2 linked regions of the Anolis sagrei genome follow. The protein of the gene in region 1 interacts with the protein of each later gene in a biochemical or structural test. Links are inferred from orthologs where the notes say so. Each region holds a gene or a part of one and is shown on either strand. Other genes may lie near its edges. The genes, in order: USP8 and STAM2.

Region 1 (16,041 bases):
GGCAGGCATCCTCAGAGGTTGTGAGGTTATCTGAGTCCACACTGCTACATATTCCAAAGCAGATAACGTGGGGCTTTATTCAGCTGTGTGGAAGAGGCCTAGGATACAATGGAGCCATGGGTTCAAATGACAGGAGATTCCAATTTGAATCTTAGGAAGCACTTCCTGACTGTAAGAAGAGCTGTTCAGCAGTGGAACTCCTGCCTTGGATTGTGGAGGAAGCAACTTCCTTGGAGGCTTGACAACAGAGGCTGGATGGCCATCTCTCAGGGGTCTTTGGTTGTGCTTTTCCTGCTGCCCTGACTCACTGTGAGGTGAGCTGTGAGGACAGGAGAACTGTTCAGCAGTGGAACTCTCTGCCCTAGAATGTGGTGGAGGCTCCTTCTTTGGAGGCTTTGAAACTGAGACTGGGTGGCCATCTGTCTGGGGGACTTTGGTTGTAATTTCCTTGCTTCTTGTCAGAATGGGGTTCGAGTGGATGGCCCATGGTGGAAAGGCCCTGGGTTATATGGCTATGCGGAAGGGCTGCTTCCTTGGAGGCTTGGAAACAAGAGGCTGGAAACAAACTACAGGAAAAGAGATTCCACCTGAACATTAGGAAGAACTTCCTCACTGTGAGGAGAGAGATGTTCAGCAGTGGAACTCTCTGCCCTAGAATGTGGTGGGGGCTCCTTCTTTGGAGGCTTTGAAACTGAGGCTGGGTGGCCATCTGTCTGGGGGGCTTTGGTGGTCCTTTTCCTGCTGTCTTGAAGAATAGGGCGCAGAACAACGGCTGTAAACGACAGGAAAGGAGATTCCACCTGAACATTGGGAAGAACTTCCTCACTGTGAGGAGAGGAGAGGTGTTCAGCAGTGGAACTCTCTGCCCTAGACTGTGGTGGAGGCTCCTTATTTGGAGGCTTTGAAACTGGGACTGGGTGGCCATCTGTCTAGGGGGCTTTGGTTTGGATTTCCTTGCTTCTTGGCAGAATTGGGTTGGAGTGGATGGCCCATGGTGGAAGGGCCCTGGGTTATATGGCTGCTTCCTTAGAGGCTTGGAAACAAGAGGCTGGAAACAAACTACAGGAAAAAAGATTCCACTTGAACATTAGGAAGAACTTCCTCACTGTGAGGAGAGCTGTCAGGAGAGGAGACCTATTCAGCAGTGGAACTCCCTGCCTTGGAGTGTGGAGGAAGCTGCTTCCTTGGAGGCTTGGAAACGAACTACAGGAAAAGAGATTCCACCTGAACTTTAGAAAGCACTTCCTGACTGTAAGAAGAGCTGTTCAGCAGTGGAACTCACTGCCTTGGAGTGTGGAGGAAGATGCTTCCTTGGAGGCTTGGCAAGAGGCTGGATGGCCATCTCTCAGGGGGGCTTAGGTTGCGCGTTTCCTGCTGCCCTGAAGAATAGGACGCAGAACAATTCCTGCAAACTACAGGAAAAGAGATTCCACCTGAACATTAGGAAGAACTTCCTCACTGTGAGGAGAGCTGTTCAGCAGTGGAACTCACTGCCTTGGAGAGTGGAGGAAGCTGCTTCCTTGGAGGCTTGACAACAGAGGCTGGATGCCCATTTGTTAGGGGGACTTTAGTTGTGCTTTTCCTGCTGCCCTGAAGACTAGGGTGCAGAACAACGCCTGCAAACTACAGGAGAGGAGATTCCACCTGAACATTAGGAAGAACTTCCTCAGTGTGAGGAGAGGAGGTGTTCAGCAGTGGAACTCCCTGCCCCAGAATGTGGTGGAGGCTTTGAAACAGTCTTGGTGGCCATCTGTCTGGGGGGCTTTGGTTGTGATTTCCTTGCTCCTTGGCAGAATGGGGTTGGAGTGGATGGCCCATGGTGGTCTCTTGCAGCTCTTTCATTCTGTGGGACGGTAGGCCTCAAGCCTGTCAGAAGCAGGGGAGGAAAAGCGGCGCGAGGGGGGAGTTAGAGAGGCCTAGTTCACCCGGGGAGGCCTCGCGAGGGACCCGAGTGTGGAGGCAAGGCGGCGGCGGAAAGGAGGGCCTTCTCCCCGGAAGGAAGGAAGGAAGAGAGGAAGGGAGGAAGGAAGGCCTTTCCTTTCCCCGCCTGACAGGAAATCCTGGCTGGGCGCGAGCGAGGAGGAGGCGAGGGCCGCGACGAGGCGCCGGGTTCCGGGGGAAGTGGAATTATTTTTTACCAGCCCAGGAGAGAGAGATCCACTTCCACATCCGGTAACAAGCAGGGGCCTCGCCAGCAAGGGCGCCGACTGACCTGGAAAAGCTTGGCTGGCCGCGGAAAGGAAGAGGAAGGAAGGAAGGAAATGAGGGGGGGGGGGAGGGCCGGGCGCCGCTTACCGTGCCTCCGCCGGAGAAAGAAGCAAGCAAGGAAGGCCTCTTTCGCCGCCTCCTCCGCCGCGTCTCTGAGGCGCCCAAAAGCCCCGCCAAAGAGTCCCTCTCGGCGCTGTGGCGGAAGGACACCGGCAGGGAGCGCTCTTCACGAGACAGGCCTCTGCCAGGAGGAGGCGGAGGAGGGTTCTGCTCCTTCCCCAAATCCCTTCGCCTGGCAAAAAGGAACCACTCTGAACATATTCACTCCTTATTATTACTCAACTTTCCTTATTCCAGATAGGGATTATTTTTTTTTGTATCTCGGAGGCCTCACAAAAGAAGCAGGGGGGGGGAAGGGGAGGGAGTGTGTGGCGGAGGGATATTAGTATTTGAAATCCGCGCAGGCGCAGAAGCCAGCAAGGGAGCCGCCATGTTTGAAGGTGGCTGCTTTTCCCGCCTTGGGAGGGAGGGAGTTCGGCCTCCGAGGGAGGGAGTTCAGCCTTATAGCCCAGAATATCAAGGCAGAAAATGCCACAATATTTGCTTTGAACTGGGCTATCTGGCTCCGCACTGTTATTAAGCAGATAATGGGATTCTAAGCAGATAATGTGGGATTGTATACAGCTGTGTGGAAGGGCTCCCTCTCTCTCCCCCCCCTCTCTCTCCCTTTCCCCTCCCTCTCTCCCTTTCCCTCCCTCCCCGCTCTCTCTCCCTTTCCCTCTCCCTCTTCTCTCCCTCCTTGCTCTCTTCCCCTCTTCTCTCCCTCCCTCCTTGCCCCCTCTCTCTCCTTCCCCTCTCTCTTTCTCCTCCCCCTCTCTCTTTCTCCCTCCTTCCCCCCTCTCTCCCTTTCCCCCTCCCTCTCCCTCTCTCCTTCACCCCTCCCTCTCTCCCTCCCGCCTTCCCCGCTCCCTCTCCCTCCCTCCTTTCTCCCTTTCCCCCGCCCTCTCGCTCTCTCCCTCCTTCCCTTTCTCCCTCCCTCCTTGCCCCCCCTCTCTCCCTTTCCCCTCCCTCTTTCTCCTCCCCCGCTCTCTCCTTCTCTTCCTCCTCCTTCTCCCCTTCTCTCTTTCTCCTCCCCTCCCTCCCTCCTTCCCCCTCTCTCTCCCCCTCTCTCCCTTTCCTCCTCTCCCTCCCTCCTTTCCCCCTCCCTCTCTCCCTCCCTCCTTCCCCCTCTCTCCCCCTCCCTTTCCCCCTCTCTCCCTTTCCTCCTCTCTCTCCCTCCCTCCTTTCCCCCTCTCTCCCTTTCCCCCTCCTTCTCTCCCTCCTTCCCCCTCTCTCCCCCTCCCTTTCCCCCCTCTCCCTTTCCTCCTCTCTCTCCCTCCCTCCTTTCCCCCTCTCTCCCTTTCCCCCTCCTTCTCTCCCTCCTTCCCCCCTCTCTCCCCCTCCCTTTCCCCCCTCTCCCTTTCCTCCTCTCTCTCCCTCCCTCCTTTCCCCCTCTCTCCCTTTCCTCCTTTCCCTCTCCCTCCCTCCTTCCCTCTCTCTCCCTTTCCCCCTCTCTGCCCTCTCTCTCCCTTCTTCCTCTCTCTCTCTCTCTCTCTCTCTCTGGGCCCTTCCACACAGCCCTATATCCCAGAATATCAAGGAAGAAAATCCCACATTATCTGAATGCGGATTCGAATAACCTAGTTCAGAACAGATATTGTGGGGTTTTCTGCCTTTATATTCTGGGATATAGGGCTGTGTGGAAGGGCCCAGAGAGAGGGGGGGCCTTCCACACAGCTGTGTAAAATCCCACATCTGCTTTGAACCAGAATATACAACAGTGTAAAGTCAGATAACCCAGTTCAAAGCAGATACTGTGGCTTATTTGCCTTGATATTCTGGGTTATATGGCGGGGGAGGGCCTTAAGGTCCCTATCACACAGCTATATAAAATCCCACATCTATTCTGAACTGGACTATATGGCAGCGTGGAATCAGATAACCCAGTTCCCAGTTCAAAGCAGACACTGGATTATCTGCCTTGATATATTGGGTTAAATGGCTGTGGGGAAGAGCCCCGTGGCTCCGGAAAAGAGTGGCAGGTTTTGCCATAGATTTCAAAGTCAGCCATGTTAGGGTCCTTCTACACTGCCATATAATCCAGATTTTGAAAGCACCTAATCCACAATATCAATTTTGAACTGGATTATATGTTGGTGTAGACAGAGGTCCCTTCATTGAGCCATATAACCCAGGGCCCTTCCACACAGCCATATAACTCAGAATATCAAGGCAGATAATCCACAATATCTGCTTTGAAGTGGGTTATCTGAGTCCACACTGACATATATTCCAGTTCAAAGCAGATATGGGGTTTTATTCAGATGTGTGGAAGGGGTCCCAGAATATCAAGGCAGATAATCTACAATATCGGATTATCTGAGTCCACACTGTCATCTAATCCAGTTCAATGTGGATTTTAGACAGCTGTGTGGAAGGGACCTTAGTCTCAGATATCTGTTTGCCAAGCAGATAATGTGATTTATCTGATTTAATAATCTGGATTATCTGGCAGTGTATAAGGGGTCTGAGGGCCCTTCCACGCAGCCATATAATCCAGAATATTAAGGTGGTTAATCCCACAATATCTGCATTGAACTGGGTTATCTGAATTGACACTGCCATATATTCTAGTTCAAAACAGATAATTTGGGATTTTATTCAGCTGTGTGGAAGGGGTATGAGACAAGGTCTCATCTACACTGTCATGTAATCCAGTTCAGTGCAGATAATCTGGATTCTATGGCAGTAAAAATCCATCCAGAAAGAAGTTTGGTAGTAACAGCTTCCATTGCTGTGTGCATTAAAGAAAGTTCGTTATTATTTATTGTTTATACCCATTTTTCTCTCTCCACAAATGAGATTCAAAGCAGCTCAGAGATGCATATAGTCAGTTTCAAGTTGGATTATCATTGATCAATGTAGAGAAAAGAGTGAACTGTGTTCCAGATCTTACATTGATCCAGTTTACAGGTGAGATTAATCATTCTTATGCAAAGCTATTCAGGTCCATCAGAAGTGCTTTGTTTCCCAGACTAGGCTAAAGTCACTCTTCTGAAGGGAACTAAAAGCAGAGATAGGTGACTCCAGAATGGTAACGAAAGATTATAATAATGTAACAGTGCAAGTGCTTGCAATTTTAAACTATGTAAAACAGCCCAACAAAAAAAATATTAGTGTGTCTTGGTTTTTAGGTTTATTCCCAGGGTTCTTTGGGGTGCTGATTCAGAAAATTGCACTAGATAGACTGCATTATCTCTAGTTTCTTAAATAGGGTTATCCTGATTTCTATGGACAAGTAGATTGTGACTGTTAGATAGCATCTGTCTCAAGAACCAGAACTGCTGGGGGGAAACTGGTGGCATTTTTGGAAACAATCTGCCAAATATACCCAGAAACAGGGGAAACATTCAAGGTACCAAATGTGTGGTGGTCAGTTTTTTAAGTAACTGGACTGGAGGAAGATCAAGGTCCTTCTATACTGCCATAAAATCGAGTTAATAAAACCAAGTTATAACGTTTTGTGATCTGGAGTCTCTTTTCCCTAATTACACTGACTAAATTACCAACTTGTATTTAGTGCTGTGTGTTATGACGTGTTTGGAGGAACTGATCTTTGTACTGAAGCTTGCATAGCCATAGAGCTTTTATGGTGACATGTTCACTGTTGACTCAAATATTCATTATTTTATTCGTAAATCCTGAGTTCTTCCCTACATTGGGCTCAAGACAGCCTACAAGAAAATTAAAACAAAATATGATTAAAACATACAAAAGGTAAAAAAAGAATGGTAAAAACGGTGCAAAATAATTTCAAAATTGTTTTGATTACTGAAAACCTTCATGCAATAAATCACACATTTTAACCTCAGTTTTACAAAAATTGTACTAGACTGTAGGTAAATCTAACTGCAGTTCTTTTGGTACAAAATGGAAAATGCTGATGGAAAAAGGCAGTGCATCAAGTTGTAAACATGACCTTCAGGAAAGTGCAGTCATATTTCCAGATACCTTGCCCTAGCAATAATACTGATCACTTCCGTGTGCTTCTGAAAGCGCATACAGATAGAATATCTGAGTAACCTTGGTAAACTAGTTTACTTATAGTCAAAGGATACTCTCAGTAGTATGAATATACTCAAACAGGCTCAAAATCGCAGAGAAAGTAAATTCAGGCCTGAGTCTACATCTGCCATATAATCCTCTTCAATGTGGATTTTATACAGCTGTGTGGAAGGGTTCAAGGGGCCTTCCGCAATACCCCGCTATCCCAGGATCTGATCTCGGAGCCCTTCCACACAACCATATAACCAATAATATCAAGGCAGAAAATTCCACAATGTCTGTACTAGAGGCCCTTCCAGATCCTATATCTCAGGATCTGGTTCCAGGGTTTCTGTTTATTCCAGATTAGCTGGCAGTGTGGACACATAATCTAATTTAAAGCATAAAACCTGGAAACAGATCCTGGGATAGAGGGCCTGTCTGGAAGGGCCCTGGGTCACCTGAGGCCCCTTTCACACAGCTAAATCATAGAGTTGGAAGAGACCTCATGGGCCATCCAGTCCAACCCCCTTCCAAGAAGCAGGAAAATTGTATTCAAAGCACCCCTGACAGATGGTCATCCAGCTTCTGTTTAAAAGCTTCCAAAGCTATTATACCTTTTCCAGAATGCACCAATAATTAGGAACAATAGATTATTTAACGCCTGGAATAAAGAAATATTAAAATTTATCTGGAAAGGGAAAAGACCGAGAATAAAATATGGATATTTGACTGACGCGAAGAACAGAGGAGGGCTAGGTCTACCAGATCTAAACCTCTATTACGAAGTGTGCGGTCTAAGCTGGATAAAAGATTGGATCTTACTAAATAAGGAGAAAATACTAGAATCGGAGGGTTTTGACCTGGGAATTGGCTGGCACGTGTACTTCTGATACGACCAAATCAAAAGGGATTTTTTTTAAACAACCATTGTTAGATCTGTGCTAATGAAAATGTGGGCCAGATTTTATTTATTATTTATTATTATTATTTACTTCGCTTATAGACCGCAATTCTCAGCCCAGGGGCGACTCGCTGCGGTGTACAACATAGAAAAACAGGTGCAAAATACAAGACATAGTGTAAAATAATCCACAATTCATCATTATCAAAAACATCCTCATCAAAACATCAACATTACTACAAAGCCATTCCGTGTCATCTCATCGTCAAACCCACAATCCGGTATCATTTCCGTTATTCCATTCCTATGGTCAATTTACCAATCATTGCACATCTTGTTCAAATGCCTTCTTAAACAGCCAGGTCTTTAGTTTCCTGCGGAATATCAACAGGGAGGGCGCTAGCTTCATGTCTACGGGAAGGGTGTTCCACAGCCGAGGAGCCACCACCGAGAAGGCCCTATCTCTCGTCCCCGCCAGCTGTGCCTGTGACGCAGGCGGGATTGAGAGCAGGGCCTCCCCCGGAAGATCTCAAAGTCCTCGTGGGCTCATAGGCCGAGAGGCGGTCAGTTAGGTATCTTGGGCCGGAACTGTTTAGGGCTTTATAGGCCAACGCCAGCACCTTGAATTGAGCCCAGTAGCAGATCGGCAGCCAGTGGAGCTGGTACAGCAGGAGAGTTGTATGCTCCCTGCGTCCTGCTCCTGTTAGCATCATGGCTGCCGCCCGTTGGACCAGTTGGAGCTTCCGGGCCGTCTTTAAGGGCAACCCCACGTAGAGAGCGTTGCAGTAGTCTAAGCGGGATGTAACCAGAGCGTGGACTACCGTGGCCAAGTTAGACTTCCCAAGGTACGGGCTAAACTTTACCCAAAGATTCCTTTGTGGATATCCCCCCTTGAAGCAGGACAGAGAAGGTTATTGGGATGGTCCAACTGGCCCATCTATAAGGACATTTTAATAATAATAATAATAATAAAAAGGTAATCTGCAACTGAAAACAAGGGAGGAAATTGCCCAAAGCTTTAGCTCAGTTTCATGGTTCCAGTTCTTACAACTAAAGGATTATTTATTTATTTATTTATTTATTTATTTGGGGTTCTTTTACCCCGCCCTTCTCACCCCGAAGGGGACTCAGGGCGGCTCACAAAAGCAAGGCACAATTTGATGCCTGCATCATAAAAACAATCAACACAAAATTACATCAATACACAGTTAACACCAAATATACATTATAACCATAAAATCAATAAAACCAAATACAAACCCAGTTTCTCCTCTTGCATGGTCAGCGTTTGCTACTCATAGATCTAGTTTTACGTTCCACTTCATCAATCCTGCTGGTCTTACTCGCCTGGTTGTCTGATTTAATTGCCCGAGTGCCCAAAGGCCTGGTCCCATAACCAAGTCTTCACCCTTCTCCTAAAGGCGAGGAGGGATGATGATGCCCTGATTTCCCCCGGGAGTGTGTTCCACAGGTGAGGGGCCACCACTGAGAAAGCCCTGCTCCTCGTCCCCACCAGCCTCACTTGTGACAGTGGTGGGGTCAATAGCAGGGCCTCCCCAGATGATCTCAGACTCCGAGGCGGGATGTAGAGGGAGATACGTTCGGACAGATACACTGGACCGGAACCGTACAGGGTTTTGTAGGTCAAAACCAGCACCTTGAATTGTGCTCGGAACTGAATCGGCAGCCAGTGGAGCTGGCATAGCAGGGGGGTGGTATGCTCCCTGTATGACGCTCCGGTGAGCAATCTGGCTGCCGCTCACTGGACTAGTTGAAGTTTCCGAACAGTCTTCACGGGCAACCCCACATAGAGCGCATTGCAGTAGTCTATTCGGGATATAACAAGAGCGTGGACCACCGTTACATCTTCTTAATACTTATATTAATACGTTAATACTTCTTCTTCTTCTTCTTCTTCTTCTTCTTCTTCTTATTATTATTATTATTATATCCTGGGTTAAAAGCCAGTTTCTGAACTTTTGTGTTTTGGACTGCAATTCCCAGGATTCCTCTCCATTGGACAGGCTCGCGGGGCCTTCTGGGATTCGAAGTCCAAAACACTTAAAGAGGCCCCCACAGTGTGTTGCTTATTGAGTAGGCTTCGGACGCGCCTGTCGTCCAGGTCCCTTGGGGAGCGCGGGCGTCTCGTTTTCTCTTCAGGCCCGCCACGGACACCTCATCCCTCTCGGAGGCCCCCACCGCCGCTTTCGGACACTTCCGGCGGCCCAGCCCCTTTCGCGGAAGTCCCGTCTCCCCGCCCCTCAGTTCCGCCTCGGCCGGCCAACGAGAGGCGAGAGAAGCTCGGGCTGCCTTCCTCCCTACCTTCCTTCCTCAGCTGCTCGGGTGCCGGGAGATGGGCCTAGCCCTGAAGGGAAGCACAGCGAGGCCGGGGCCGGGGTGAGTCCTCCTCTAGAGCGAGGGGAAAGGCCTGCCGGGCCTGGAGAGGCCTGCTCTGCGCCTCAGAGAGAGAGCCAGAGAGGGTTTGGCCCAAGGGAGGGAGAGAGGGAGGCCTTTCAATTGGAACGAGAGCTGTTTCAAGTGAGCCCTCTTTAACTGCCACGGCCCAGTTCAGTGGGCACACTTGAAACTCCCAAGCATTCCACAAGGCAGTTAAAAGGGTCTCAAACTGCATTAATTCCACGGTGTGGCTTAGGTTCAAGGTGAGTTCAAAAGCTGACTTGTCCCACCGAAGCTTGGGTTTCAAGGGCACTTCACAGGTGAAGAAATCTGCAAGAGAATACTTTTATTGTATTGTCGAAGGCTTTCATGGCTGGAATCACTGGGTTCTTGTGGGTTTTTTCGGGCTATACGGCCATGTTCTAGAGGCATTTCTCCAGACGTTTCGCCTGCATCTATGGCAAGCATCCTCAGAGGTAGTGAGGTCTGTTGGAACTAGGAAAAAGGATTTATATATCTGTGGAATGACCAGGGTGGGGCAAAGAGTTTCGGGGTATGGTGTCATCTGTAGCAGATGATGTCCAACTCTGTCACTCCTTCCCACCTGCTACTAAGGAGGCTGTCGAGGTCCTGAACCGGTGCTTGGCCGCTGTGACGGTCTGGATGGGGGCGAACAAATTGAAATTGAATCCAGACAAGACAGAGGTACTCCTGGTCAGTCGCAGGGCCGAACAGGGTATAGGGTTACAGCCTGTGTTAGACTGGGTCGCACTCCCCCTGAAGACACAGGTCCGCAGTTTGGGTGTGATCCTGGACTCATCGCTGAGCCTGGATCCCCAGGTTTCGGCGGTGACCAGGGGAGCATTCGCACAGTTAAGACTCGTGCGCCAACTGCGACCGTACCTTGGGAAGTCTGACTTGGCCACGGTAGTCCACGCTCTGGTTACATCCCGCCTTGACTACTGCAACGCTCTCTACGTGGGGTTGCCTTTGAAGACGGCCCGGAAGCTCCAACTAGTCCAACGGGCGGCAGCCATGGTATTAACAGGAGCAGGACGCAGGGAACATACAACTCCTCTGCTGTACCAGCTCCACTGGCTACCGATTAGCTACCGGGCCCAATTCAAAGTGCTGGCTTTGGCCTTTAAAGCCCTAAACGGTTCTGGCCCTACATATCTATCCGAACGTATCTCGGCCTATCAGCCCACCAGGACCCTAAGATCTTCGGGAGAGGCCCTTCTTTCCATCCCGCCTGCTTCACAGGTGCGGCTCGCGGGAACGAGAGACAGGGCCTTTTCTGTGGTGGCCCTGCGGCTTTGGAATGCCCTCCCTATAGAGATAAGATCAGCCACCTCGCTGATGGTATTTCGGAAAAAACTGAAAACATGGATGTTTGAGCAAGCATTCGGCTAATCCGATGCGATGAAGTTTTTGATCAAGGACTGGCAATCACAGACAACGAAACTGGATTATAACTTTAATTAAGAGATGCATTGGTCTGTATTGGTGGCCCAATACTGTGTATTGTATATGTATGTGTTTTATATTTTTAATCGAAATATTGTTGTTTTTAAATGTTGTAAACCGCAATGAGTCGCCGTTTTAGGCTGAGATATTAGCGGTATACAAGTGTACTAAATAAATAATAAATAAGAACTCTTGTCTGCTGGAGCTAGGGGTGAATGTTTCAACTGACCACCTTCATTAGCATTTGAAGGCCTGGCTGAGCCTGGGGGAATCTTTCGTTGAGAGATGTTAAGATGTGCCTGGTTCTTTCCTCTCTGCTGTTTTGCTGTTGTAATTTTAGAGTTTTTTAATACTGGTAGCCAGATTTTGTTCATTTTCATGGTCTCCTCCTTTCTGTTGAAGTTGTCCACATGCTTGTGTATTTGAATGGCTTCTCTGTGTCGTCTGACATGGTGGTTGTGAGAGTGGTCCAGCGTTTCTGTGTTCTCAAATAATCTGCTGTGTCCAGATTGGTTCCTCAGGTGCTCTGCTATTATTATTATTATTATTATTATTATTAACTTTATTTGTACCCCGCTAGCATCTCCCGAAGGACTCGATGCGGTTTACACAGGCAGAAGCCTCAGAACACAATACAGTAAAAACATAACACAACAATAAACAAAGCAAATCAAATAGTTAAGCAAAATAACAACAACAGTAACGATGCATCAAGACACTTTAAAACTGGGCCGGCCAGCGCAATGGGGTACAGGGTTAAAAGTGCTGAAATGGCAGGAGGAACGCAGGATTAAAATAGTGCGGTGTGCTATGGCTGACTTCTCTGGTTGAAGTAGTCTGCAGTGCCTTTCATGTTCCTTGATTCGTGTTTGGGCAACGCTGCTGCATTTGGTGGTCCCTATGTAGACTTGCCCACAGCTGCATGGTATACGGTAGACTCCTGCAGAGGTGAGAGGATCCCTCTTGTCCTTTGCTGAACGAAGCATCTGTTGGATTTTCTTGGTGGGTCTGGAGATAGTTTGTATGTTGTGTTTCCTCCTCAGCTTCCCTATGCGGTCAGTGGTTCCCTTGATGTATGGCAGGAACACTTTCCCTCTGGGTGGATCTTCATCTTTACTCTCGTGGCTTCTTCTCGGTTGTCTTGCAGCTCTTCTGATGTCTGAGGTGGAGTCTCCATTGGCCTGGAGAGCCCAGTTTAGGTGGTTCAGTTCATCTTGGAGGAGGTGGGGTTCGCAGATTCTTTTATTCTCTAATATTTATTTATTTACTAGCTGTCCCCTGCCATGCGTTGCTGTGGCCCAGTCTGTTGATCTCTAAAATAAAGAGAGAAAGTGTTGGTTTCTAATATATGTAATGTCTTGTTGCTTGTGGGTAAACAGTATTTCTTGTTGTTTCTTTGTCAGTGTTGACGTGGAGATTGTTTGGTTTGCCCACCCTGGAACATGCAATATATCATTGTCCTTCTGTAAGGGTCCCTTTCAAGTCTATGATACTATAGCTCTCTGTGTGAATAATATCTATCTATCTAGCTATATCTACCTATGGCTGGATGGCTCTTTGTCAGGAGGACTTTGATTACATTTTCTTGCCCCGATGAAGGGAGTTGGATTGGATGGCCTTAAGTATTTTTTGTTGGTCATGGGGGTTCTGTGTGGGAAATTTGCCCCACTACCTCCCGTTGGACTAGTTAATATAGTAACTTCAGGTGTATTTACACCAGGCATGGGCAAAGTTGGGCCCTCCCTCCAGGTGTTTTGGACTTCAATTCCCACAGTTCCTAAGAGCCTCAGGCCCCTTCCTTTTCCCCTCAGCTACTTAAGTAGAAAAGGAGAAGAAAAGGAAAGGGCCCGAGGCTGTTGGTAATTGTGGGAGTTGAAGTCCAAAACACCTGGAGGGAGGGCCCAAGTTCGCCCATGCCTTCCCTATCCCATCAAGTGTTACAATTATGTTGTGTAGTTACATCCAAACTTGACTGGGGCACAGAACAGAAGGATGGTCTGTCCATTGATCCACTTCTGGTTTAATGTGTATTCTCTCCAAAAAGGAACTTTCTTCTCAAGTGTTCTAGCCTCTAAACCAGGCATGGCCAAACTTTGCCCCTCCGGATGTTTTGGACTTCAACTTCCACAATTCCTAGGAGCCAATAGGCTGTAAAGAATTGTGGGAGTTAAATTCCAAAACACCTTAAGGGCTGGAGTTTGCCCTTGCCTGGTCTACACGGTAGAATTGAACTATCAATAGGCACAGGCCCTGTTCCCAGAGTTAAACACACTTATGGGCATGTACTTGTCATAATAGGTCACATTTGGAAACTCAAATTGGTGGCTATCTACATATAGAAAAGTTATGGAAATTCAAAATTGGAAGTGATTACTAGAGACGTTTCATCATTTGAATGTGGTTTTTAGCAGGCTTGTCACACTGTATGATGTCAGTAGAATTCGGATGAATGTAAGTTAAGTAATTACACCACAAAGTATTCAAGCGACTCGTTCTGGATTGTTAAACCAGGCTGGAGTTACACTGCCCTATATCCCAGGATCTGATCCCAGATTATCTGCTTTGAACTGGGTTATATGAGTCTACACTGCCAGATTATCTGGGATAAACAGATAATCTGTGATCAGATCCTGGGATATAGGGCAGTGTAGAGCCAACCACAGAGCTTTCAGTGAAAGAGGCTTGGTGCTTTGTGATTTGCGAAGTTGTAGAAGTATCCTGGACTCTGGTTTAGAGTTCTTTAATTTGTCATGTCGGGAGCAAACCAAACAGTTGTGTTGTATTTAAAATAAAAACAAAAAACACAAAGTTTGGAAAAATTGAGAACTTTTCTGCAGTTCCCATAAGCCCCAGTGGTAAGGGATTGTAAGAGTTGTAGTCCTAAAATGGAATATTTTGAGCAGTCCATGGGTGGGGGGGGGGGGGGTCCCAAAAGCAGAGAACTGGCCCTGAGAATTTCTAAAGTTGTTGATCTCTCCAGCCCCTTCCACACAGCTGAATAATATCCCACATTTTCTGCTTTAAACTGGAATATATGAAAGTGTGGACTCAGATAACCCAGTTCAAAGCAGATATTGCGGGATGTTCTGCCTTGATATTCTGGGTTATATGGCTGTGTGGAAGGGCCCTCTTATAATATAATTAGAATGTTAAGTATTCGTCTTTGAACTTGGCCCACTTCATTGCAGTATATATCAAGATGTTTTACTGTGATTGTTTAAAGGATTCACAGTCATTATGACATACAAATAAGTATTTTGGGCTAAGACAACTGCAGGCTTTCAATGTTTTTGTAAGCTGCTGAGGGCCCTTCCACACAGTCCTATATCCCAAAATATCAAGTCAGAAAATCCCACAATATCTGCTTTGAACTGATTTGTCTGAGTCCACAGTTCCAGTTCAAAGCAGATAATGTGGGGTTTTCTGCCTTGATATTCTGGACATAGGGCTGTGTGTAAAGGGCCCAGAGAACCTCTTGTGCTAGAAACCATTTTGCTATTTTGTTATGTCACTTCAAGTACATTGGAACCAGAAAGTAAGGCTTGGCTTGTGGGAGAACATCAATAATTTGATGAAATGACATTATGCATACTTAGGCAATAAACTCTGCCAAGAGGGACTGAATACTGTAATCTTTGTATGGTAGTTAGAAAACTTAACATGCTTTAGTAATACAGCACTAGCACTCTGTAGTAACTTATCAGAAACTGGTCATAATTTCAGAAGTTTGTGGCATTGATGGGAAATATTGGGATTAGTGCCTTTGGATAATAAATACTTGTGTTTTTCAGTCCTGTGAGATCCATATTAGACAGAAATATATTTTAACAAGTGTAGCTCATAGTAAGCACTTTCAGATATTTGAGTCTGTAACCCTATAAATACTTCAGATAAAAAGAAAAGCCAATAATCCATCAAAGATGGTTGCCAAAGTCTTATTGATTTTGAATCTGGATTGTTCAGTTGTTCTTTATTATATGGCCTGTGTTGAGATGTTCTTCGGGAATAAGTGCACTTTCAAGCGTGTCTGCAGTTTCACTCAAGAAAAAGTGTTTTTAATTTTTTTTATTCTAAAAAGTAAACTTTGATTTTGCCATCTTTTTCTACATTATTGTATTTAATGATTATTTTAAAACATTTATATTCTGCCCTTCTCACCCCGAAGGGGACTCAGGGCAGAGCACAGCATATACATGGCAAACATTCAATGCCGGTACACAAATTCACATACAATACATAAACATTAAAAAAACATTTATCCAAATATTAAAATACACCATTTAAAACTGTCCTAGTCATCCGCTGCAACGCACTCTACATGGGGTTACCTTTGAAGACTGCTCGGAAGCTTCAAATAGTCCAAGAGGCAGCCAGGTTAATAACTGGAACAGCACACAGGGAGCACACAACTCCCATGTTATGCCAACTCCACTGGCTGCCAGTTTGCTACCGGGCACAATTCAAAGTGCTGGCTTTGGCCTATCAAGCCCTAAACGGCCCCGGCCCAAATTACCTGTCAGAACACATCTCCTCCTATGAACCATCACGGAGATTAAGATCCTCTGGGGAGGCCCTGCTTTCTGTCCCACCATTGTCACAGGTGCGATTGGTGGGGACGAGGGACAGGGCCTTCTCGGTGATTGCTCCCCGGCTATGGAACTCCCTTCCTGGTGAGATCAGGTCGGCCCCCTCCCTCCTGTCCTTTAGAAGGATGGTAAAAACTTGGCTGTGGGGCCAAGCTTTCGGGACAGGGCCATAAAGCAGCAATAGGAAAGATGACCAGCCAGTTAGATTTGACGCGGATGACTAAGACGGCTTTAAATGGTGTATTTAAATATTTTAATACTTTTTTAATGTTTATGTATTGTATGTGAATTTGTGTCCCGGCACTGAATGTTTGCCGTGTATATGCGGAGTCCCCTTCAGGGTGAGAAGGGCAGAATATAAATGTTTTAAATAAATAATAATAAATAAATGAGATT
Region 2 (15,568 bases), on another chromosome or scaffold:
CATTACAGTTTATGAGGGGCGGCCAGAATCCTTTTGAGCTTAAGTTAATTAGTGTTTAGTTGCATTACTCTTATTGGAATATATTAGTTCTTTAGCAATATGCCATAGTGTCAGTATAGCATGGTGTAGTTTCGCTTTACTTTTGGCTATACATATGTATAGTTCTCCCCCCCCCGCCCCCCCCCCCAAATACTTTCTATGTTGTTGTGAACCCATTTGTATGTGTCAAAATGAATAAATATCAACTTTAAAAATAATGTGAAGCAATTCATAAAAGAACTAAATAACTACAGACTACAACTTTATTAGAAAAACACTGAAAACATCAAATATAGGCATAGATCCAAATGTCTTCTTCCATGCGGAAAAAGTTTCTGCCCCATTGCTTTCCTGGAGCCAAATGGAGGGAAAAGGCACCCACATTTCACAAATATTCCTTGACACATCAGGAATCTTCCAAAACAACATGGAAAATGTCATCAGGGGCTACAGAGTGAGGAGTGTGGAGCTCTTCCACAAACAGGGGAGAAACTGAGACCAATTATTGTAATTCTTTCCCCTCCTTGAAATGAGGTCTTTTTACACTCTTAAGATGTTATTAAACTAGGTACACAATCATATGGGACAGAGTATACTAACATTGCTCCCTACTATTGCAAAACACATAGGAAGTGGGATAAAAGCCTAAGGACAGAAATGTTCACTTTATCCATGAAAGCTCTCACTGCGAGGTTTCCAGACAGAGATTGGTAAGGTTTTAGGCCTAGGAGATACTTTTTTTTCTTAAACAGAAAGTGAACCAGAAATGACATGTGGGTCACCTTCTATTATTTTTTTCAAAAGGCCTTTTGTGATTTTAAAATGTTCAGAAAGAATTTCCTAAAGGGTGTTTGAGGGCACTGGATGACGGAAGTTGGAGACGGGTTTCCTTCAAGATCTCATGAGGGACAGCATGCCCCATTGAGCGTTGGCCATCCATATTAAACCCTAGATTGAAATAAAGTAATAGAATATGGGAGGTAAGCTAAGCATGTGTTTTGAAGTAAGACACCATGACTGAAACTGTCTGATGTAATATACACACACATCTGTGGTTATTAGAAGCCCTCTGAAACCCTCTATAGCCAGACCAGAATTGAGGAAAGATCTAGAGACATAGACAATTCCTCAAGTAACATAGTATTAAATCACTGAAGTCAGTAACAGTAAATTCATGGGCCCCATGAGAGCAACTGTGCCATGATCCATGACAGCTGTCCATGCCTAAATTTAGTATTTACACTTTCATGTGAATTTGGAAACTGACAATTGATTTAACATTCTGCACTAGCTGAAGGTAGTCTTGTGTAGTAAAACACCACAGTAGTCTGGTCCTAACATAGTCAAAACAGGAGTAACCAAAACAGGGTGCTGTATCAGCTGTGACCCCTAATTGGCATTAGGCATTTGTGGCAATCACAACTGCCATCTGTACATCCAGAGATAGCATTAGATCATGAAGATTTCACTTTTGATCTATTGACTTTTAGTTTTACAGAAATAGATGATCTCATGCTCAGGAACAGCTGATCACCTCTGTCCTCCCTTAGTTATAGTATCAGTATCTTGTTGGATTATATTTCAGACTGTTCACCTACTCTAAAACTGTTCCTGAGCAACTATTACAAGGTTCTGCTGCTGCCCTCAGATTAGCAAACAACATACTGATGACACATTAGTCTGACTCTCTAGCTGACCTCCCAGCGGCTTGGTGTAGATACTTAACAGATAAGGTAAGATGGATCTACCATAAAGTAAAAAGTCATGAAGTAGAACAAAAATCTTTCAAAATTACCAGTGGAGTTTGTCCTGTTAGAACAATGGTTCTCTCCTATCTCCAAACAAGAATCTATGTGGATTCTTTCTATGTTTCATTAAAAACAGGTCTCACCTCCCTTTCTAGTATCGTGATTCAAAATGGCATGTTGGACTCTAGGTTGTAAAATGTCCAGAATAGGGTACAGATTTACAATTGCTTTTTTTCAGGGAAGTAGGATTTCCTGAAAGAGAATTCCCTTCCCCTAAAAAGTATGTTAACCACCCCTATAGCCTAAACAGTAGGTTTCATCCTGACAGCTCCTAATATCCTAGAGGAATAAGGATCTAGAAAACAAGTGGTAAATCTCAAGCCTACAAGTAGCTTGTGCATATCCTCAGGTTGCACAAGCAAAAATGTATCCAAACATAAAGAGACAAGATAGCTTCCCAGGTTTGTTTATTCCATGTCTGTCAAAATATAAAATAGACTCAGTATAACAGCAAATGAAATACTAATTCCTCAGTTTATTTTGTTTTTGTAACATTTTATAAATCAAAAGCAAGCAATTTGCTTACATGTAACAGAACAATTCACTGGTGTAAGGTTTTTATAATGTTGACAAAGGAGAACAGAAATCGTACCAGAAATCAAAGTCCATTTGCAGTTAGCTCTCTCTATATTGGCCTTAGAAAGCTACATAACGAGATCTCTAACAAGAATGCATTGTCATCTGTAACATGGCTTCTGAGCTTCTCTAGAAACATCTCTGTTGTCAAAATAGTATCAAAACAGCTTCTCCTGAAACATACTGGTATTTCAATGAAAGTTTTAAAATAATATATTTACAGAATCCATATATGTTTATACATTCTTAGCATTCCTTGCATATAATCCTCATATTTATCAGATCTTGACTTCTTAGAACATCTTTGTGTTTTGACAACGAAAATTAAGGTTTTGCTACTGAAGTCTATGGGATATGAGTAACCATGCATAGTATTGCTTCGTTCAGGTAAAAAACCAATACATCTAAGCTTTTAATAAACTTGTGAATGTAAAGAGCAAACCTGTCTGTTTCTTGCTTGTTTAACCGATTTTCAAAAGCTAAAATATTAAGCACATTACATATATTTGTAAGCACACATCTGATTAGAACTTTTTGGTACTGTTCCATTATCCAGGCGGAGGCCATTAGGGGGTAATAGAGAGAGAAGGGCTGTCCATTTTAGGGCGGGGGACAATTGAAGGGGGAAAACCATTTTCCCCTTTTTTCGCTGGTCATTCCCCCTCCCCACTTCTTATATCATAGACGAGCGGAATAACAGGAAAACAGGAGGAAATGGTTTTACTCCTTCAACCCACCCCAACCCCCATAAAATAGACTATCCTTCTCTCCCTAGCACTCCCTAGTGGCCTCCACCCAGATAATGGAACAGTACTGAAGTTTTTAATAATTTTGTATTGTACAAAATATAGTCACAATCTTTTTAAAAATGTCGTTTTAAGTTCATGTTTCATGTGTGTGTGTGTGTGTGCATGCATGTGTGAGTGTTGGATGAACTGCAGTTAGTTTGAAATGTGCTCAAGTTGATTGCCATTTTCTAGTTTTCCACCATGCTGCAATATTCTTGTTAGATTCTAATGACTTTGTTTCCTGGCTTTTTAACTACTATTTTGATATAATTAATATCTTTCTTTATGTTTGACTGTTTAAATTGCATATTAAATGTTATTTTAAATAATATAATGAATTACACTATACTCTTCAGTGTCAAATCTGTTAACACATACAAGTTAGGGTCATTAACACTGCAGTCCTGTGCAGAAATAAGCTCCTAGACTCTTAGGTGAATGTACATAAGGACTAAAACATACTTTCATAATTCTTTTTACACTAACAACTTGTTCCTGTTCCCAGATTTCAAATTATCCACCAACCAGGAAATACAATAGCTAATAGCTGACTACAAGTGATGTCACTGTAAGTTATGAAGAAAAGTGTTCTCTTCTGTGTGAAACCGTATGACCTGTTGACTAATCGATTCCAGGCCCAGCCCCTTTCAGGAACTTTGGGCTTTTTAAGATGGAATATGAACCACCGAGATCATTCATTATCTTAAAGATCAAATACTTATGTAGTCAGCCTAGTGACAGCAGTTACAATATAGGTACAAAAAAGTATACCGATAGCGATAAAGCTCTTTAAAGTCATTTTCGAACAATTATTGATAGATAAAACAGAAAACAAATAAATCCATTAATTTCAACTCAATGCTTTCAGAACATTCTGTGAAACTGTACACCACAATGCATTTTAAAACAAACATATTTTGTTCTTTCAATCTAACTATGGAACTAATCTATGTTGTTAAATCAAGACAGCCATCCATGCCAGATCCCCAACCTCCAAATCAACTTAACCCTCTAAACTACAAAATATTGAACAACAACCTTTAAGACATAAGGTTCATTTCTGGAGCCAATTCAAGGACTTGGTGTGTGCCAACATAGCCTTAAATCACTCAGAGTGAAAATACTTGAAAGTACATAACCTGTCACATGCCGCAGGTGAGCAAAGGAAGTGGCAGAGATTACAATACTTATAAGGCCATTTCTGCAAGGAGGAAAAATCCTATTCTGCTTGGTTTTTAATGTAATAATGTCATAGTGGAAAGTTCAGGTCAGCTTTGGACTGACAAAGGCATAACACTTCTTTTATACATGTGTATCATACAGTGAATGCAAGACCAGCATAAGACGCTTACTTTGAAGTATAGTTCTGCTTTGTGGTTGCTTGAGTACACAAGAGATAACAGTCCAGCTGACAAACAACCAGAGCAGGAGTCAGGCTAAAAACCTGACTCACCCTTGAATTACTCTTGGGCAAATCATTAGCTCTCAGGTTCAGTTCTACATTTGACAGCTGAGAAAGAACTGCCCTTGGGTAGCTCCCAGCCAGCAGAACATTTCACAAAGATAGTAGAAATTCTAGAGATGAAGAGACCCATTTCCATGTTGCGCATGGGAAACGGGCCAAATATTTATAAGTTGGAAGAAACAACATGAAATAGTTGTGACCCAGTTTCAGGAATATAGAGTACAGTATTTCCGGAACAATAATCTCTTAATCAGAAAGTCATTTCCTCCCAAACCGCCAACCAAAACACAACAACCCAAACCCATGCCAATAGAAACAACTCTGTGCTATGGTAATATGGTCTGCATTCTGGGAATATGGTCTGAAATGATACACAGCCACAACCCCAAGAAAATGAGTGACCTCCTTTTTGGCCAGTGCAAAATATCTGAATGGAGGTGGGGATTATAATTACTTATATCCTGCTTTTATCGCGATTGAGACACTTGGGGGCCCATTCACCAGGAAACTCTCTCTTTGCCCCAATGACTCAGGAATTGTGTGGCTGGATATTGGCACAGCATCCCCTGAGTCATGCCAAGGAACCCTGGTTACTACTACTATTACTAATGTCCCACTTTCCCCCCAGATTGGAACTCAAAGCCATACAACAACAATATTTAAAATGTTCAAAATCCACAAACCACAACAGTTAAAACAGTTAAAACGATTAAAGTTAAAACTTAAAACATTCATCATTAAAACACATACAAACCACTGGTCATATCTAGTGTAAGAGGGACCTTACAAGTGGTGCTTCTGAAATGTAGAATTAATGCAGTTTGACAGCACTTTGGCTCCTTCCACACAGCTGAATAAAATCCCACATTATCTGACAGCGTGGACTCAGGGCCCTTCCATATGATTCCAGGTTTTCTGTTTATCCCAGACAGTGTGAACTCATATAATCCAGTTTGAAGCAGAAAATGGGATTCTGGGATATAGGGCCTGTCTGGAAGGGCCCTCAGATATTCCAGTTCAAAGCAAATATTGTGGGTTATTCTGCCTTAATATTCTGGATGATATGGCCTATGGTCCCTTCCACACAGCTGTATAAAATCTCACATTATCTGCTTTGAACTGGGTTATATGGCTGTGTAGAAGGGTCTTTAGGCTTCTGTAGTGTGATCCTATGGAATCAAGGAATCTGTGGCCTAATGAGGCACTTACACCTTTTAGCAGATGAAGCCTTGTAAAACCACAACTCCTATGATCCTCCAGCACAGAGACTCCTTCTATACTACCATATAAAATCCAGGTTATCTGCTTTGAACTGGATGTAAACTGAGATAATCCGGTTCAAAGCAGATAATGTGGATTGTCTGCTTTGATAATCTGGATTATATGGCAGTGTAGAAGGGTCCTGAGTCATGGCAGTTAAAAGTGGTATTGCTGTGCATTAATCTTACAATGTAGATGCGCCAGGCCCCTTCCACATGGCTGAATAAAATCCCAGGGCCCTTCCACACAGCTATATAACCCAGAATATCAAGTCAGAAAACCCCACAATATCTGCTTTGAGCTGGGATATATGGCAGTGTGGAGTCAGGTAACCCAGTTCTAAGCTGTTATTGTGGGGGTTTTGGCTCACAACAGTCTAGTCACTGTGGGATTAGAGAAGTCTTTGCTCTCCTGACACTTCATCTTCCCTTTGCCCTTTGCCCCAAAGAGGACCAGCCTTTGTGTTTGAGGTGCCTTCAAATCACCTGCCAGATGAATGGCCTCAAGGACTCCTTAGGTCCCTTCTACCTAATAAAATCCCACATTATCTGCTTTGAACTGGATTAGATAACCCACCTCAAAGCAGATATTGTGGTGTTTTCGGCCTTGATATTCTGGGACATAGGACTGTGTGGAAGGGCCCTGAGTCCACACGCAGATATTGTGGGATATAGGGCTGTGTGGAAGGGCCCCTTGAGTCACTGTCGGCATAGAGAAGTCTTTGCTAGGCTGACACTTTGTCTTCCCTTTGCCCCAAAGCCTTTTTGTGTGAAGTGCCTTCAAGTCACCTGCCAGCCGAGTGGCCCCAAGAACTCCATAGGAGCTTCTTAGGCCCCTTCTACACAGCTGAATAAAATCCCACATTATTTGCTTTGAATTGGATTTGATAATCTAGCTCAAAGCTGATATTCTGGGACATAGGACTGTGTGGAAGGGCCCTTGGTTATCCAAGTCCACACTCAGATATGGTGGGGTTTTCTGCCTTGATATTCTGGGACATAGGGCTGTGTGGAAGGGCCTTGAGTTCACACTCTGATGTTGTGGGATATTCTGGGGTATAGGGCTGTGTGGATGGGCCCCTTGAGTCACTGTCGGCATAGAGAAGTCTTTGCTAGCCTGACACTTTGTCTTCCCTTCGCCCCAAAGGGGACCAGCCTTTGAATTGGATTAGATATCTGCTTTGAATTGGATTAGATAACCTAGTTTAAAGCAGGTATTGTGAGATTTTCTGCCTTGATATTCTGGGATATAGGGCTGTGTGGAAGGGCCTTGAGTCCACACTCTGATATTCTGGGATATAGGGCTGTGTGGAAGGGCCCTTAAACAAGAAGGGGCCTTGGCAGTTCCTTCCCTTGAAAGAGACCTGGCAGTGGCCTCCCTCCCAAGTGCTAACCAGGCCAGGCCCTGCTTGGCTTTCTTCCCTGGGGCCCTTCCGTGGCCCTCGACTCACCCACATCCTGCTCGAAGGGGTTGGGGGCGAAGAGCGGCATGGCGGCGGCAGAGGGAAGGGGAGGCGAAGAGACCCGGCTGAAGGAAGGGAGGAAGGAAGGAGCGACTAGAGACGCAGCCCACCAGCCCCTGCTCCTCCACTCAGCCCCGCCCCTCTCCTCTCCTCTCCCCAACTTCCTCTTCCGCCCTCCGCGAAGGACCCGCCCTCTCGCTTCATTGCCGTCCAGCGCGCGCCTGAGGAGACGCGAAGGTCGGAGGAGGAGGAGGAGGAATACGGCTTGAACATCGCGTCCCCCCTTTTACGTTTCCCTCGACACTAAGGGAAAATGTCGGCTAAGGAGGCAGGCAATACAATAGACACCTAGCACCGGGGTCCTAGGAAGGAGAGGCGCATAGAGATAGAAGAGTGGAGAAGAACACTTAATTGATTGGCGTTCTGCGGAGACAGGCAATACATAGACACCTGGCTTCAGGGTCCTAAGAAATAGAGGCGTGTAGACATAAACATTGTTGAGAGCGCTTCACTATTTGCCTGGAAGTTAAAAGAGTAGCAAGGCAGCTGACTGCATTTGCAATCCATTGGTAATATAGGGCTCTTCCACACAGCCCTATAACCCAGGATATCAAGGCAGAAAATCCCGCAGTATCTGCTTTGAACTGGGATATATGGCAGTACACTGCCATATATCCCAGTTCAAAGCAGATACTGTGGGATTTTCTGCCTTGATATCCTGGGTTATAGGGCTGTGTGGAAGGGACCATAGTAAGGCCTGCTGTTTTAAGCAGTCAAGGCATTCAAGTTCCAGTGAGGAGAAGGGGAGGGGAGTTCAGAACAAGATGACACTTTGGGGGTTGTGCAAATCTATACTATTTGCCAGCACTTGTAACTGTCGTGGCTCAGTGCCATACAATCATGGGAGTTGTAGTTTTACAAGGTCTTTAACCTCCTCTGCCCAAAAGTGTTGGTGCATCAGCAAACTACAAAAATGAGACTTTGGGGCTGTGCAAATCTGTACTGTAGATGAATGCAGTTTGCCAACACTTTAACTGCCATGGCTCAGTGCTATAGAATCATGGGAGTTGTAGTTTGACAAGGTCTTTAACCTCTGCCAAACTACAAATTCTAAAATTCCATAGCATTGAGCCATGGCAGTTCAAGTGATGTTGAACTGCATTCATTCTCCAGTCTAGATGCACTTTAAGCAAATCCAATAGAATTCAGAATAAGTTTTTCTTTTATGCTGGGGTCTCTAACAGCCATATGGTGGGAAGCTGAAACCTAAATTGATAAGTATGTGTAATAGCTAAGTGGGCCTCCTAGTGGCGCAGCGAGTTAAACCGCTGAGCTCCTAAACTTGTTCACCAAAAGGTCAGAGGTTCGAATCCAAGGAGCAGTGTGAGCTCCCACTGTCAGCCCCAGCTTCTGCCAACCTAGCAATTTGAAAACATGCAAATGTGAGTAGATCAATAGGTACCGCTTATGTGGGAAGGTAACAGCGCTCCATGCAGTCATGCTGCCCACATGACCTTGGAAGTGTCTTTGGACAACGCTGGCTCTTCGGCTTAGAAATGAAGATGAGCACCACCCCCCAAGGTCGGACACGACTAGACGTAATGTCAGGGGAAACCTTTACCTTTACTTTCTAATATATAAGTAAGAATAATTGCCCCCCCCCCCCAAGAATATACCGACTGTAGGATTGTTTCCCATGCAATTACCCTATTGTGATTCTGCCCTTTCAGTCCACATACCTCTAACTTTGGAGATGGTGAAAACCGGGATATATTGCGGTCATACAACATTTTAATAAAATCAAGATGCCTTTCTACGCAGCCCTACATCCCAGAATATCAAGGCAGAAAATCCCACAATATCTGCTTTGAACTGGGTTATCTGAGTCCACACTCAGATAAAGCGGAATTTTCTACCTTGATATTCTGGGATGTAGGGCTGTGTGGAAGGGCCTCAGGACATTTTAAAAGCAGTTGAAGAAGTCAAGACAATGGGACTAATCAGGACTGTCTTCCCAAGTCAGGCAGTTAGAGATTATTTATTTATTTCGCATATTTGTATCCCGTTGTTCTCATCCCCCGGAGGGGGACTCAAAGCGGCTTCACAAGAGGCATTCATTCAATGCAAACAACAGTAATAAATGATAAAAGCAATTAAAACAATTCATTACTGCTTTAAAATTACTAAAACATTGTTTAAATCACACAGGTTTGAAATCATAGTCCAGGTCTGTCCATTGTCATTCACACAAACTGGGTCTCATTCTAAATTTCTGCCTCTACTGTTCGAACGCTTGGTCCCATAGCCAAGTTTTGAGTTTCATTCTAAAGGACAAGAGGGAGAGGGCCAATCTAATGTCACTGGGTAGAGAGTTCCACAGGCAAGGGGCCACCACTGAGAAGGCCCTGTCTCTCGTGTCCACCAGTCACGTTTCCAAGGATGGTGGAACCGAGAGCAGGGCCTCTCCTGTTGATCTTAGACTTCACAGTGGTTCATAACAGGAGGATACGTTCAAATAGGTAAGCTGAGCCAGAACCTTTCAAGGCTTTATAGGCTAAAGCCCACACTTGGAATTGTGCTTGGTAGCAGATTGGCAACCAGTGGCATAGCAGAGGGGTTGTATGCTGTCTGCATGTCGCTCCAGCGAGCAACCTGGCTGCCATCCATTGGACTAGTTGGAGCTTCCAGTCTTTAAAGGCAACCCCATGTAGATTCTATTGCTGTTTTACACTGAAGAGCTGGAGTGGAGGTCTGAGGTTCTGGAAGAAGGCTTTGACTTGAAAAGTTATTTTGAGGTGTGTGTACACTGCATTAGACTTTTGGAGTTGTGTAAATCTACACTGTAGAACTAATGCAACTGGGTACCACTTTTAACTGCCATGGCTCAATGCTATGGGATCCTGGGAGCTGTCGTTTTACAAGATCTTGAGCCTTCTCTGCCAAAGAGTGCTGGTGCCTCGCCAAGCTATATACCACATAGCATTGAGCCATGGCAGTTACAGTGGTGTCTAACTACATTAAATCTAGATGTACCCTTGGTCTCTTTGCTTAGATACAAGCCTGCATTGAAGGAAGTTTGAAATCTTGATCCCAGATCCAACATTAGATTATTGAAAAACTGAGGAGGCGAGAAAACTTTGCTTAATTATGTAAGAGTTGATCACAACTCACATCAAACATAGAGCATTTTATATTCATGCCATAAACAGAGTGTATGTTGTTCAGGAATCAATCCCAACATTGGTATTTAGCTGCATTGGCAGTGCCAAATGTTGTAAAGAATGTAGAATGGAAATGCAGAGAATTCCACTCAGTGCAGTGCTATAAAAATGCCTTAATCTGACAAATACATTTGCAAACCAGTTGTCCTTGTCTGCTGGTGTGACCAGGTCTGGGTCAGATGACTATTGCATTACAAGAGCAGCTGAAAACACAGCACGTGCAAAATGCAGAAAACATCAAATTCCTGCTCACTTTGGCATATGATGCGAATAGCCATGGCCTTTGTGAGATTATGGCCAGAATCCTTTTGGTGCCTTAACAGTCTGCTATGCTGATGTCAGGCACTTTCTGGAGGGATGTGGCGCAGCAATGGGGGGGATGGCAGGGAAAGCTGTCTCTATTGCCAAGGAAAACTGTCCTACCACTCCCATGAAGTTCAGGAGCCAGCAAAAGAGCAATTTCTTCTGACACATGACTTCTGATGCTATCTCTTCATTCTCACAACCGCTAAAGTCAGTTTTTTTCCTGTTTCCACAGCACACTGTTATCAATGCTTTCAGCAGTGTAGTAGTGCTGGCCAACAGTTTCATGGTCTATGCATTCATATTCATGGCCATCTAGATATCTGACTACTCTTACAGCCAACCGCTTGATGTGATGGTGAAGTTACCAGGTTTTCAGTCTTAAAATGTCTGATGTGTTCTACAGCAGGGCTTCTAAAAACTTCCACTTATGGCCCCTTTTTTTCCTGAGAAATTTTTACACGATCCTGGGTATACAGGGATATGAAATAAGTATAAAAACCAAACATGTGTTTGCAAATCTGTGTTTGCAAGGCTTGCTAAGCAAGCTGATTTTTCTTCTTATGGAGTACAGCTGAAGCATCTTCTGTAGAGCCCACTGTTAATTTATCAGACCTTGCTGCAGAGCTCATCAGTGTTCCTGTTTCCCAAATTTGTATTTGGAAAGCTGACCTATTACCTTTGAACAACTATTTTCAGACATCAAAGAATAAAGCACGGTTTCTGGACTATCTTTTCTGAAGCAAATTGATGTTTACAATGTTATGATGCAGTGTTGATACTGTATAAGCCGACTTCATTGACATAAGTTTGTTCACTTTGTCTCGTCGTCAGAAATTTTAAAGAGACTGGAAATAAAAGAACAAGCAGCAGCCTATAGATTTATGGAAGAAATTGAAGTGATAAGTACATTTGTATAAGAGATATGTACAAGGATCTACAGAAGAATGTATAGAACAATTATACTTTTTGACACACTTTTAAAAAAGATGTTCAGCAATTAGAAAGCTACAGTTAACGCAAGAAGACCTTTCCCTAGGTAATAGGAACCAAAATCCAAATCTGATGTTACTAATCAAATTTAAATAAAAGCCTGGCACCTGACAAATTTTTCACTACCATCAGTTGAAATTCATTTTTAATTTGTGTGGGAAATGTAAAGGCAGGAGAATATATGCAGAAAACCTTCATATTAGCCATAAGACTATTGCTTGTTATCCAGAATCTCCATAAGTTAGGTTTTATGGGAAAGATGGTGCATTTGTAGATGCAGCTGCCAAAGTGTGGCGAGTAATTTTTGCACTATCCAATTTCAGACAGAAAAGTGGTTTAGAATACTATTACTCAGTAGTTGTGTCTTTCACACTAGCTGTTTCCCAAAGTTTCTGGCTTGATACAAAACTTGGTGACATCAACTGCAAACTCACCATACTCTGAAGGAACTGTATCCCTGTATAACCTTGCAAGCAAATTTTGACAACACAGACAATTAATGCAAAGCCAAGCAATGTGAAATTTCAAAAGTTTAAACTCTATCAAGCAAGTTATAAAATGCTTTAAAGTGTAGCATCATTATAATACAATATAATATAGTTAAAAGTACAGCAACTCTGTAAAAAATGACTCCCTGAAACCACTCATACTATTAAATGCTTTTTAATTTCATCTGGCAGTGAGAGGAGAGAAAAGAGATATGCTATATTTCCTCTATAGGTGGCAATATTGTTCCAAGCCATAACTTGGCCACAACATTCAAAGCACAGCTTCTACTTTATACTCCTGGCTGTATAAAGTTCATCACTTTTTTCCCCAACCTGCTCCAGGATTTCTTACTGCAAACTTCTTGAAGTTGGGTTTGGAATATGAGCAGAACAGGGAGGAAAAAATGGAAATAGTAGTATAATGACCATCAGGATCATAGCATGCCTTTGGAAGCCTTGGATTCTGGAAGTAGTCTGTTCCAAGGTCCTGCAGCTCCAGTTTGCTTCTAGCTTATCAGGGGGGACAATGTAAATGAAGTAGTGCAGTAATATACAGCCACCATAACCTGGGCATATTATACAGAACACTCCGGATACACACAAAACCAATAGGTACATTTTCTTCTACCCACATCCAACAAAATATGTCTTTTCTAAGGATTTTCTATGGCCTCCAGGGTGACTCTGTGGTAACATCTAACAAAAGTTGTTCATTTCAATAGGATTCCTTATTACCCAGGGCTCTATTTCCACGGTAAGTTCAGGAACATATCCCCCATGATGTATCTCAATACAGGAGAAAACATCAAGTTGTCAACAAGAATGCTTCAGGGTTTTTTTTGCTTAAAAATTGTAGAAAACCTTTTTTGTCCACTGAAACGTTATGCACGCAACTGCAAAAACAGCCTGTGAGCATGTAATACTCTTATTAAGCAGAGCTCTGTCTGTGTAGTAAAGGAAAGTGGTATTTAGGTATTTCCCACTTAGAAAACAAAATACACATCTCTAAATCATTTGTAGCCTTTTTGATTCATTTTATGTATCTGAGTGTATGACATCTAAAGTGAAGGCTTCTCCAGCCTACTTATTGCTGGACAAGAGAAGGCCTGCCTCCTCCTCCTTCTTCTTATTAATTTTATCCTATGAGATGGAGACTATATGATGGAATTCTGCTCACAGGGAGAGGGAAGCGTAATTCTGAACCCTTCGGTAAGGTTTCTATTGGGGTGCATCTACACTGTAGATTTTAACTGCCATGGCTCAATGGTATCGAATCCTGGGAGTTGGAGTTTGGTGAGGAACCAGCACTCTTTGGCAGAGAAGGCTACAGACCTTGTAAAACTACAAATTCCATGATTCCATAGCATGAAGCCATGGCAGTCAAAGTGGTATCAAGATGTAATAATTCTGCAGTGTAGATGCACCCTCTGTAAGGCTGTAATCAGAGCTTGCTTCTCATTGACATCAGCTCCTACCAGCCTCCAATGAGAGCTCCAAATGGAGCTGTCCAAGGTGCTTCTGGCTTTGCTTGGATTTTGCCTTACATTCATTTGATCTTGGCTTTGCCTTGTTCTCCTTATCAGCTCCCAAACATGTGTCTATCACACCTCTGCTCCAGGGCCCTTCTATACTGCCATATAATCCAGAATATCAAGGCAGATAATCCAGATTATCTGCTTTGAAGTAGATTATCTGTGTCTACACTGCCATATCCTCCAGTTCAAAGCTAATACTTTGGATTTTATACAGCTTGTAGAGTGGCCTCAGTTGGAGATCAGTTTCTGATAGGCAGAGAAATTACATTTTCTATCATTCCAATACATAGGGGCACTTCAAATCTATTATTTGTTTTGTATGAGTTCCCTCTGCCGCCCAGACTAAAGTAAGTAACGCTTTGGCTTCATCAGTGGTAGTCAATCTGGTGTATATCTGTGTTTGATAACAAGAGTCATTATATTTGATTATCCTGTCACCTGTTTTTACAACTGTGTTTGTCATTTCGTCTATCTTACTGATCCTCATATCTCCAGACTAGCCTTGAAATAGTTGTGGTGTGGGCACTGAGAGATGCATGTTTATTAATGCATGACATGACTAAAGCAAATGTATAGTATCAATGTGTTACCTCAAAGAGAGGATAATAACAAAATCTGTCATATAATAATAATATAGCCTACATGGATGAGATTGTGGAACACACATTTATATGGCAGACATGCGTTCATGTTTCTGCATGTAGGTGTGCAACCCGTTATGTTACTTTGTAAAAACTTTCTTGAATGATATAATGCTAGGTTTCAGTGTGAGTAATGAGACATTTTAGGGCTTCTCCTAACAAGAATGGTGATTAGTCTGTAGGGAAAAGAACGATCTGTAGATATTCCTGTAATATATTTATGACATTGTTGTGTTTATTTTAAGACTCGGGCCCAGGCCACAGTGTGGGGCCCACACCCTTCAGTAAGAGTGCAAGTCTCTCTCTTTTTCCTCAGGGAAGCAGCTGCCTGTCTTCAGCTGGACTCACCGGCATTCCTGAGCGAAGCACCTGCAGATCCGCCACTCTGCTTCTGTAGACAAATGGGGGGGGGGGGCACAGGGTTGCTGTCTGTTCAGGGAGGAATGCCAGGGCCTGTCTGCGAGCTGTCACTCCTTTGCATTCCTGTGATAAATTTTAAAAGGGCTGGTGCACTCCCCAAGGTGTGACAGTTCTTACCCCTATAAGCCTTGTCCTTAACCCCAAGGCATCTGCTTATCATGCTGGAATGTTTTCATACGCTCAGAAACAGAAGGTCTTAACATGCCAGCGCTGTTTGATCTTGTAAGGTGCATGAGCCAATAAAACAATTTATGCTAAGTGCCCTTTGCTCCAGCAGGGGAGAAAGCACATCCCATTTTTCAGATTAAACCACTGGAGCAGAGCTGAATCCCACTGAAGTCCAGCATGGCTTTATGTAGCTAAGCACACATTTGTCCACGAATTTATTTGGTGGGGAATAGCGAACAATAAACTCCTGTTGGTACTGATTCCTTATCAACACATTTGTGTATGATAGACAGAAATCATACACAAATGTGTATGTGTTGATCATACACATTTGTGTATGATAGACAGAATACCCATTAGTATTAGGGGTAATAGATTATAATCGAGAGGGAATTCATAAA

Evidence for each region.
Region 2: the proteins of USP8 (region 1) and STAM2 form a complex in vitro, tested with the Homo sapiens proteins (3 studies listed by BioGRID, with this or other methods). The link is inferred for Anolis sagrei from reciprocal best matches to the Homo sapiens genes USP8 and STAM2.

Annotation. Positions count from the first base shown.
Region 1 is NC_090029.1:32,017,942-32,033,982, reverse strand, and holds the start of USP8 (ubiquitin carboxyl-terminal hydrolase 8), read left to right. Parts: upstream 1-9,410; 5' UTR 9,411-9,592; intron 9,593-12,206; 5' UTR 12,207-12,282; intron 12,283-16,041. UniProt on the Homo sapiens protein: Hydrolase that can remove conjugated ubiquitin from proteins and therefore plays an important regulatory role at the level of protein turnover by preventing degradation. Converts both 'Lys-48' an 'Lys-63'-linked ubiquitin chains.
Region 2 is NC_090021.1:204,398,994-204,414,561, reverse strand, and holds the start of STAM2 (signal transducing adapter molecule 2), read right to left. Parts: upstream 7,562-15,568; 5' UTR 7,427-7,561; coding exon 7,387-7,426; intron 1-7,386.